Arabidopsis thaliana: one gene and its partner. The protein of the gene in region 1 interacts with the protein of each later gene in a pairwise test. Each region holds a gene or a part of one and is shown on either strand. Other genes may lie near its edges.

What was found. The genes of interacting proteins can lie anywhere in the genome.
Region 2: the proteins of AT1G21940 (region 1) and AT3G21690 interact in a protein complementation assay, tested with the Arabidopsis thaliana proteins (one large-scale study listed by BioGRID).

The regions. Positions count from the first base shown.
Region 1 is NC_003070.9:7,714,669-7,718,885, forward strand, and holds AT1G21940 (uncharacterized protein), read right to left. Parts: upstream 2,308-4,217; coding exon 2,148-2,307; intron 894-2,147; coding exon 502-893; downstream 1-501.
Region 2 is NC_003074.8:7,636,915-7,642,901, reverse strand, and holds AT3G21690 (MATE efflux family protein), read right to left. Parts: upstream 4,319-5,987; 5' UTR 4,153-4,318; coding exon 3,832-4,152; intron 3,708-3,831; coding exon 3,076-3,707; intron 2,109-3,075; coding exon 2,052-2,108; intron 1,830-2,051; coding exon 1,591-1,829; intron 1,497-1,590; coding exon 1,378-1,496; intron 1,285-1,377; coding exon 1,198-1,284; intron 1,107-1,197; coding exon 1,041-1,106; 3' UTR 513-1,040; downstream 1-512.

The DNA of each region.
Region 1 (4,217 bases):
ACTAAAACGACGGCGTTCCAAGTCGAAAGCAGAGGGAATGTTGAAAGTTAAACTTGATTTTGAATAAGTTTAATTATTGGATCAATTATCCAATAATTAATTATGGCCAAATCCAAGTTCTAGAGTTTTCTCTAGAAATATCATCATTTCCACCTCCTTAAAAGATTCTAGAAATTTTCTAGAATCATCTTCCACCTCCTTAAACATAAAAATCTAGATACTCTAATAGAATAATCTAGATAATTTGAATAATGTAATCTAAATCTTATGTAAGAACTCTCTAGACTTAGGATTAAAATATTTTAGATATTTTGTAGTTTGGAGGCTATAAATACCTCCTCCCCCTCTCAAATGTTGCAATGTTGTGAAGTTATCTTCAAGTTTAAAGCAAAGTAATAAAAGTTATATTTCCTAAAAAACTCTCTCAAAACACTTAAACACTTTCTCCATTACCTCTAAAAGAATTTTACTCTAACAGGGAAGATTCCGGCGAACACAAACTCATCCGACGACGAAGAACCGAAGATAAGCGGAGAAGCAGAGCGAAATCGCTAGGCAGATAGAACCCAACGTAAGTTTCATGTCCGTCTCTTCTCGTAGTCTACGCATCACCACCGGCGCAAACGTGAGTCCAAGCATCGATAAACCGATTCTGATAATCACCACCATAAAGCACATATCGGCCATCTTGTTCAGCTCTGATGCACAGTATAACGCCACGTGTCCGTTCTTCGTCGTCTCCGTTAGATATGAACCGTCGAAACCAGAAGCTCGTTTGCAGATTCCGGTGAAAATGGCGAGCGAAACTGCAAGAAAGAAACGATCGTTTACACGACGAGTTTCTTCTCTTCTCTCACGACCTCCATCTTCGTCATCCATTGCGATCTCGTAGTCTTGCAGGAGAAAATGGAGATTTTGAAACGATGATTGATGAAAAAATCAGAATCCGGGAAAAAGTGAGAAAATTTGTCTCTGAGAGGTTTTGGAGTTTGTTAAAGAGGGAAAGAAGAAGGGTTTATAACCTAACCATGGTTAAAATTTTAACCATGGACCATAGTTTATTTTTTAACCTTGCTTTTTCTCTAACCATGGTTTATAATCCGTACGTGTTGAAAAAGTTTCAAGGAGAGAGGTGATGACTGATGATATTGAGTGGACGAAGGACTTACCTCTTTTGGTCACTGTTAAAAATTGGTTTCTTGAATTACTGGTTACAAAATTTCGTTCGTTGCTGAACCGGAAATTGACAATTTTGGTTACACAGAATTGGGACCAAAAATATCTGCATGGTTTAGTATTTGATCATATAACTACCTATAAAAAGACTAGAAATATTTTATATTGTTAGATAATTGTGAAATTTTGAACAAAAAAAAATGTTAAGGGTTAAATATGGTCTTTTTTACTAAGTTTTATTCATCGGTTTTTCTAAAATGTTACTACTTTGGGTAAACAAAAGTTAAAGCAGTTGCCTGATTACGACACGTTGAACAATGGATTGATCTTATGTAAATTTAATTGATAAAAAAACAGTTCATGACTGCATTTTGCAGCTAATTCCTTAAACATTTTGAGCTAAAATTTGAAACTATCATCAAGAACATGAAGTAATTAGTCTTAATCCGATATCATAAACGGTTCACACACACATCGATTTCTTTGTAAAACTAATTATTGTATTCAGGGATGCGATCCGAAACTTTAACGCATTTTTATCTATGCAAATACAGTATGAAGTGATAAATATTGCAAGTTGTAACTACAATATCAATTAATATTCAGAAAATCTTGTTTAAACCTTTTATTCAAGAAACCAAAATGTTCACAACACAAATCCAAAGAAATAAACGAAAAGCAGATACAGAGCATCCGCGATGGTCTCACTGAACGATCACAGGTCCAAATATTCAAACCTCTAATCAAAGAAACCATAATGTTCAAAACAACAAACCCATCAAAGAAAGAAAAAAACGAAAACTAGATTGTAGATAGAAAGAGAGATGATAAATGTAAGCATCGTCGATGGTCTCACTAAAAGACACAGGTCCATAGTAACGGTGGAAGAAACTCAAGACACACCACTCACCCGGTGACGGAGCAGCGAAGGTACGCTAAGAAAGCAATCGTGAGGACGACAAAAATCAAACCCACGAGCAGCTGCACGTCACACTCTTCTCGTACTTTTCTCATCTGTTCCAGTTCCACCACCATCGGAGCAACAATGATCTTGAGAATCACAAGCATAAAAGCAAGATGCGCCCACAAGTTGAACTCCATCGCCCAAGAATACGCCACGTGTCCGGTCATCGTCGGGTTTGGATCTGAGCCAGCAGCTGCTCTTTTGCAGACTCTTGTGGACAGTTCAAGCAACACTGCGACGACAAAACGACCGTTCAATCTACGAAGCTCTTCACGTCCCTGTCACGATTCTCTTCACGTGGCTCAACAACTCCTTCCATGGCGAGAGATTCTTGCAGGAGAAAAGAAAAACAAGATTTTGAGACGAAGATTGTGAAAATGAAAACAGATTCGGGAGAGAAAATCTATATAATAAGGGTTTTTGGAGTTTATAAGCATAAAATGTTTCTTTTATTTAAATTAACCACGGTTAAAGTTTGACCGTGGACCATGGTTAATTGGTTATAGTAATCGTACGTTTTCTAACGGGACGTGAGTCTTGATGACTGTGTTGAAAGTTAAACTTGATTTTGAATCAAGTTTAATTATTGGATCAATTATCCAATAATTAATTATGGCCAAATTCAAGTTTTAGAATTTTCTCTAGAAATATCATCATTTCCACCTCCTTAAAAGATTCTAGAAATTTTGTAGAATCATCTTCCACCTCCTTAAACATAAAAATCTAGATACTCTAATAGAATAATCTAGATAATTTGAATAATGTAATCTAGATCTTATATAAGAACTCTCTAGACTTACGATTAAAATATTTTAGATATTTTGTAGTTTGGAGGCTATAAATACCTCCTCCTCCTCTCAAATGTTGCAATGTTGTGAAGTTGTCTTCAAGTTTAAAGCAAAGTAATTAAAGTTCTATTTCCAAAAAAACTCTCTCAAAACACTTAAACACTTTCTCCATTACCTCTAAAATAATTTTACTCTAACAAAGTGGTAGCAGAACTTGAAGATCCTAAAGATGGCGAGTAACAATGTTCCCTTCCAAGTCCCGGTGCTCACAAAGAGCAACTATGATAATTGGAGTCTACAAATGAAGGCTATCCTAGGAGCACATGACGTGTGGGAGATAGTCGAGAAAGGTTTCATTGAACCGGAGAATGAAGGTAGTCTTTCTCAAACTCAAAAGGATGGTTTGAGAGACTCAAGAAAGAGAGACAAGAAAGCTCTCTGTCTAATCTATCAAGGATTAGATGAAGATACGTTCGAGAAGGTCGTTGAAGCTACGTCGGCGAAAGAAGCATGGGAGAAGCTTCGAACCTCTTACAAAGGTGTCGATCAAGTCAAGAAAGTACGTCTTCAAACTCTAAGAGGAGAATTTGAAGCACTACAAATGAAGGAAGGTGAACTCGTCTCCGACTACTTCTCAAGAGTGTTGACGGTTACTAATAACCTTAAAAGAAACGGAGAGAAGCTAGATGATGTGAGAATCATGGAGAAAGTTCTTAGATCATTGGATCTAAAATTTGAGCATATTGTCACCGTCATTGAAGAAACAAAAGATTTAGAAGCTATGACAATAGAGCAACTTCTTGGGTCATTACAAGCTTATGAAGAAAAGAAGAAGAAGAAAGAAGATATCGTCGAACAAGTCCTCAATATGCGAATTACAAAAGAAGAAAACGGCCAAAGTTACCAAAGAAGAGGTGGTGGTGAAGTACGAGGACGAGGTCGTGGTGGATATGGAAATGGACGTGGTTGGAGGCCACATGAAGACAACACAAACCAAAGAGGTGAAAACTCATCAAGAGGTCGTGGGAAAGGACACCCAAAATCAAGATACGATAAATCAAGTGTCAAATGCTACAATTGTGGGAAGTTTGGACATTAGGCTTCTGAATGTAAAGCTCCTAGCAACAAAAAATTTGAGGAGAAGGCCAACTACGTTGAAGAAAAAATTCAAGAAGAAGACATGTTATTAATGGCTAGCTACAAGAAAGATGAACAAGAAGAGAATCATAAGTGGTACCTCGATAGTGGTGCAAGTAATCACATGTGCGGGAGAAAAAGTATGTTCGCGG
Region 2 (5,987 bases), on another chromosome or scaffold:
ATGGCACAGATACAACGTGACGGCCATTATTGGCTTGGCCAAGTATTTACTATTTATATCCTTTTTCGTTGTATGGTTTATAATGAGAATAATGAAAAGAAAAAGTATCAAGAATTTTTCTTCTTTACTTTTTTTTTTTTCTTTTTTTTGAATAAAATGTAAAATTTATTCGAAAAAACGTGTTTACATCAAGTGTAACGGAAATTTAATCGCTCCTTTCTCTAACTTTATGGAACAAATATAACATCTCGTCTAGTAGTTTATAAGAATATTTAGAAGTTCTTACAATCGTTTTCGTTATTTTTTATTAAACACGAATGAAAATAGTGCTTATATTAAAATGTCATAGATGCGTTAAGTAGGCGATTATTTTACTTTTGTTTACATCAAAATTTTGCCACTAACTAAAGCAAAGTTAGAGCAAGATAATACACATTTATAACTATGTCAGATATCGAATCATCAACTCCAAAATTTCTCCTTTGACAAAAAAAAACTCCAAATTTTCTCTGTGCCTCAAGTCCTCAACGCAAATGAGCTGGACTGATTTTATGATGTGAAAACTTTGTTTTATGTATAGTAATTTCAGTTTACTTAGGCCCATATATTAGGCCCATAGATCACCCTGCCCATTTTGTTGGAAGTCCAGTTCTTATTTTCCTTCACATTCTCAACAACAACAAAAATGCATCATACTGAAAGAGAGAAACTTTAATTGCATTCCAGTCTAACAAAATATCATTAAACTAAAGAAAAACTCAGTAACAAAAATAACTAAGATCTATCCAATCAAAGACATGCATATATATATAAATCAATAAAAAATAACGCAGTAACTATTATAATCTTGGCATACAAAAATACATAACCTACCTCTAACATTTTAAACAAGAACACAAAAAACTTAAAATTGAGTTGTAGAAGTTTAAAAGGTTGATCCATATCCTTTTTTACCAGCTCACATGTTACTTTGAGCATTTGCATCGGTTTACCGATGAATCTAATCGGTTCCTTGGATACCAAACTTTCATCAACCTGCATCATTCAGGAACAACTTCTTGTTTCTTGTTGCTCCATTTGTCCAACCTTTTGGAAGCTTCTTCCACCTGAAACAAATTAAAATAACTATCAAATCAATGAAAATATTTACGTAAACACTTAGCGCCTACAGGGCAGCTTAAAGTTTAGCAAACTTACTTCTTTTGTCCAATCTGTTCTAAACGTGACCCACGCCAAAATAAACGTTTGTATAACCGTACCACCGATCATCCCCGTCCATATACCCTATAGCATCATTAGCCTTAAATTTGTTATTCTAATATTCAATACAAGAATAATGGTAACTAATTAAAATGAAAGTTAAGAAAACTATCTTGCCTTGGCACCGAAGTTAAAGTAAAACCCAAAGAGAGCCCCAAGAGGAATTCCAATAATGTAGTAACATCCAACGTTAACCTTCGCCACAAACGTTTGCCAACCGCATCCAACCGCCACACCTATAATAAAATTTTCCCAATTGTTCAAAAAAAAAAAAAAAATCTTCGCTTATTCGGTTTGCGAAATTGCGGTGTATCGATCAGAAGGGTTTACCAGAGAGGACAGGTTGGATTCCGTTAAGGACAAGTGTTACGGCAAGAAGCGGACAGAGATCAGAAACAGCGTCCGAGACTTCTTTACCCTCAGTGAAAGCATAGCTTAAAACATCGCGGCACGCTAAAATAACAATGGCTAGGATCACACAAGTGATTAACGAATAAATGTTAACGATGATCACAGAAAAAGCTGCTGATTTAGGGTTCCCAGCTCCAAGTTCATTGCTCACTCTTACACTGTATCAACATCATAACACAATTTTTGTCACACTTCATCAGATTTAATAGGAGAAAAAGAGCTTATGGTTCAGTATGATTTAGCATTATTTAAGTGTGTAAAATGTAAGAATCCACATATTTTTATGGGGGTAGGTAAATTGGATAGAGACGTTTTCTATTTTATATGATTTAAATTTAGTGAAAACGATCATGCAAGTGGTGAGTTGGGACAAAACAGACCTTATCGCTGCATTGAATCCAACAGATATCATGAACACCCACCCTGAAATCGTCATGCTGTAACACAAAAACAAATAATTTAATATCGTACACTATCAAAAGCTAGTATGAAACCATTGTTGCTTGTAATGTTTTTACAACATTTTAAAATTGTAACTTTTGACTTGACATGAAAATCAAAGATATCATATTATAAAGATGGGAATTCCATACTGATTTGGGGCAACTACCTAAATTTGGTGGCTGCTTCTGTTTGGTAACAGAGGAAAGAGAACTTTTGGAAAACCTAAAAAATCTAGTACTTACGACTCAGATAAATCTTAAACTAATTAGTACTAGAAGAATATTGTATAATATCTTCGACAAAATAAAGAAGTAGATGCAGATTGGACGAAGAAATAATGTTTTATTCGATTCCATATGAGATAGTTTCATATGGTCATACAGAAATTGTTAAAGTTAAATTCTACTGCTTAAGAAGAAGACAAAAACAAATTCCAAAGAAAACCAAAACGAGAAGACTGAAAAGAAGAAATGTGATGTGACCATAGATTGTCTGTAGCGGAAGAAGTGTCAAATTTGTTCGCCATTAACTTAACTTTCATATCTAGTATCTACAACCAAACTTTGCTTTGTACTCCCTACAAAAAGTTTTGTTCTATGCTTTTCATATCGAATAATAATAATACTAAAAGTTTTGTCGAATCATTACTAGAAAAATTCATGGAAAAGTCTATAATCATACATATTCACGTGGAGTTTCAGGATATATAAAAAAGTGTTTTCTTGTAGAAACCAATAACTACTACCTATGATAAAACATAAATAAAATATCATGTGGAAGACAAATTAGACTAGAATAGGTAAAATGGAAACCAAAGAGGCAAAAACACTAGAATAGATAAACTTAAATTATTATTTTTTATGGTCAATAGGTGAAATTAATTTAGTAAACGAAATTAACTAGTAAAAATAAATTTTAAAGGAAATAATTAAATTGAGTTTGACTAAAAATAGGACTTACCAAATAGAGAGTGAATCAAGAGCAAGTTCAGGATTCTCGAGAAGTCCGGCAAGAAGAACGAGAATCTGAAAATACCAAGTCTCAAGGCAAAGCATCACGGCAGAAGCGGCGGAGAGTTTAAAGAAACTCCACAAACCCGAGAAAGCTTGAACACTAAAACCTCTCCACGTCTCACGACACCTCTCACTCGTCACAATATAAACAAACTGAGCCACGACTATAATCCACCACGACAAGCTAAGCACAAGCGACGCACCAAGAAGTCCCATACCAAGCTTGTAAACCGCGAGCCAACTTAAAAGAAGGTGAACAAAGAGCGTAGCCGTTGAGATATAAGCACTTGGAGCTACTATGCTTTGTGATTGGAGAAATTTTTGTATTGGAAAGTTCGCTGCGTAGGCAAAGATTTGAGGGATAAGACCGTAGACGAAGAGCGATGCGGCCGAAGCGATTGCGGGAGATTCACCGAGGAAGAGAAGGATTGGTTCGGAGAAAACGTAGATTAAAGTAAGGAGGAGGCCGGTGAGTGTTAGTAATACGGTTGATCTTTGGAGATAAACTCCAAGCATCTCGTATTTTCTACCACCGTACGCTTGACCACATAACGTCTCCACTGCACTCCCCATGCCTAGCTATCATCGAAAAAAACTCGAATTTTAAAGATGTGAAAAAAAACATAGCATATAGACGAAAATGATATAAAACGTAACATTCATACAAAAAATATATACAAGAAGAGGAGTTTTTGGTTGTTACCATGAGACCGTAAGCGAAGACTTGAATACCGGTGTTACCAAGAGAAGCGGCGGCGAGTTCGAGGTTACCGAGATGGCCGGAGAAGATTTGAGTAGACATGGACATGAGGTAGTTAATCATGTAGACGATGACGGCTGGTGCAGCGAGGTTAAAGAGAAGCTTTGATTCGATTATGGTGGCTTTACGTAGGCGGAGAAACAGAGGAGTTTCTACGTCGGAGAGGACAGTTTCTAGCTCGCCGTTGGTTGACTCCGGCGGAGATGGAGATGGTTGAGGATGGAGAAGCGGTTGGTGTACGCCGTCGTTTGGAGACGAGTCCATGATGATGATGGAGATTTGCTCTCTCTCTCTCTCTTTTTTTTTTTTTTGGTTTGTTGTTTTGTTTGTGGTGTTATCGCTTGAGGATGTGTGTGGCTAGTGTTGTGTATAAGTGTATATAGGTCCTATCGAGGGTGGCGAGTGACGGCTAATGATAGTTACAAATTTGTATGTTAATCATTGTATTATTTCTACCGAGAGAGTCCACGTCTCTCATTAAAAACACCAAAGGTTATTAATTATTAGAATTCTTTCTTTCGTTTTTAGTCAAAGATTGTATAACATTTCTATGGATATCGTAATTAACTTTACAAGATATCTATATGTAAAATGCAAATAGTTTTCTTTACAATATTTTGAGTTATTTCGATGACATATATTGGTTAATTAGTATTCATAATTTTAAAGAATAAATAACGTACAATCACATTTTAAAAATGTGATTAATTTCAAATTCAATGTTATTTAATTTATATGATGTCAAAAAAGAATTGTTATCTAATTTATATACCACACATTTGCTCATGGATATAGGTTTCAATACTATACACAAATCTGTTTATTTATTATATACTAATTTGCTTAAATTTTTTGAACAGAAAAAGACAAATAATAATGTAAAACTGTTTTGATACTTCAGACAAAATGAAAATATCTTTGAAACATGAAAAATTTGTTCCATGAAAAAGGAAACTGTTTATTCTTATCCTTATAAGGAAAATAATCTTTCAAGAAAGCAAATGATTAATCAAATTGGGGAAAAAAAAATGATATTGAGTGGGATCTTCAAATACAACAAAACACCGTATGCCAAAAACTCATTTTGTACATGGCCAAAACAAAATTATGGTTTACCGGGCCAGTTACACCCACACCCCCTTCTTAAATTGTTGGTCCGCCCACACAAGGTATAGTAGTCGTAAAAGCAAGCGTACTAGTATAAAAATGATATTTATGGATACGATTCCAAATAAAATTGTTCACCAATGGTTATATGGTCTACTGCGAGTACACGTTTCTCTCTTTCATTCATTCTTTCTCAGTCATTAATTCCAACCCAATGATATAGCTACTACGTTTAATATTCATATTAAATGAAAATTAAAGTAACATCAATGATTATAAATGCTTGCCAGTTGCCCCCATGGTTTAATTCCTAAGAATGGGCTATCGTATGCAATAAAAAGAAAGGTAAACAACTAAACACCAATGGTTATATCGGTTGTTTTGAAAAATCTTCACGAGCACGATTTTAGGAAGATAAAAAAATTTGAGTGTTCGAATAATTGCCACTTTCACATTCAATGTTTTTCTGCGTATTAGCATGCAGGCATATACTTCATGGGTCATCATGGCAGCTTAGCTCCTTTTGCCGTTAATAGATATCAACTCTATTGGAGATATGTGTAATCCGATTAGGATTAGTACAATATCTTTGATGATAGAGTTTCTAACCTATATTTTAGGGATTTATGTTTATCTCTTGATAGAGATCATTGTGTATAAATACCATAGTTAATGAATCAATAAAAGCAAGTCAGTTCAATACCTTATTCTACACCCAACTATGACATCTTCTCTAGTCAATAGAATAGTAGAGATCAAAACCAAGCTTGCAAAAGTTTAATTCGCTTAAAAATTAGATATAATCTTTAGAAATCGAATGTATCAGATTCGAGTCATATAGCAAAGACAATAGCAGTGTAAATGATAGACCCAAACTTGGTACTACAGCTTTTAATGAAGTTATTTGGCTCAAATAAACCCAACCAAAAAAGTAGCTACGTTTTATCAGTAATAGCTGCAACTTGTATCTATATTCTGTGCAATATAAATGA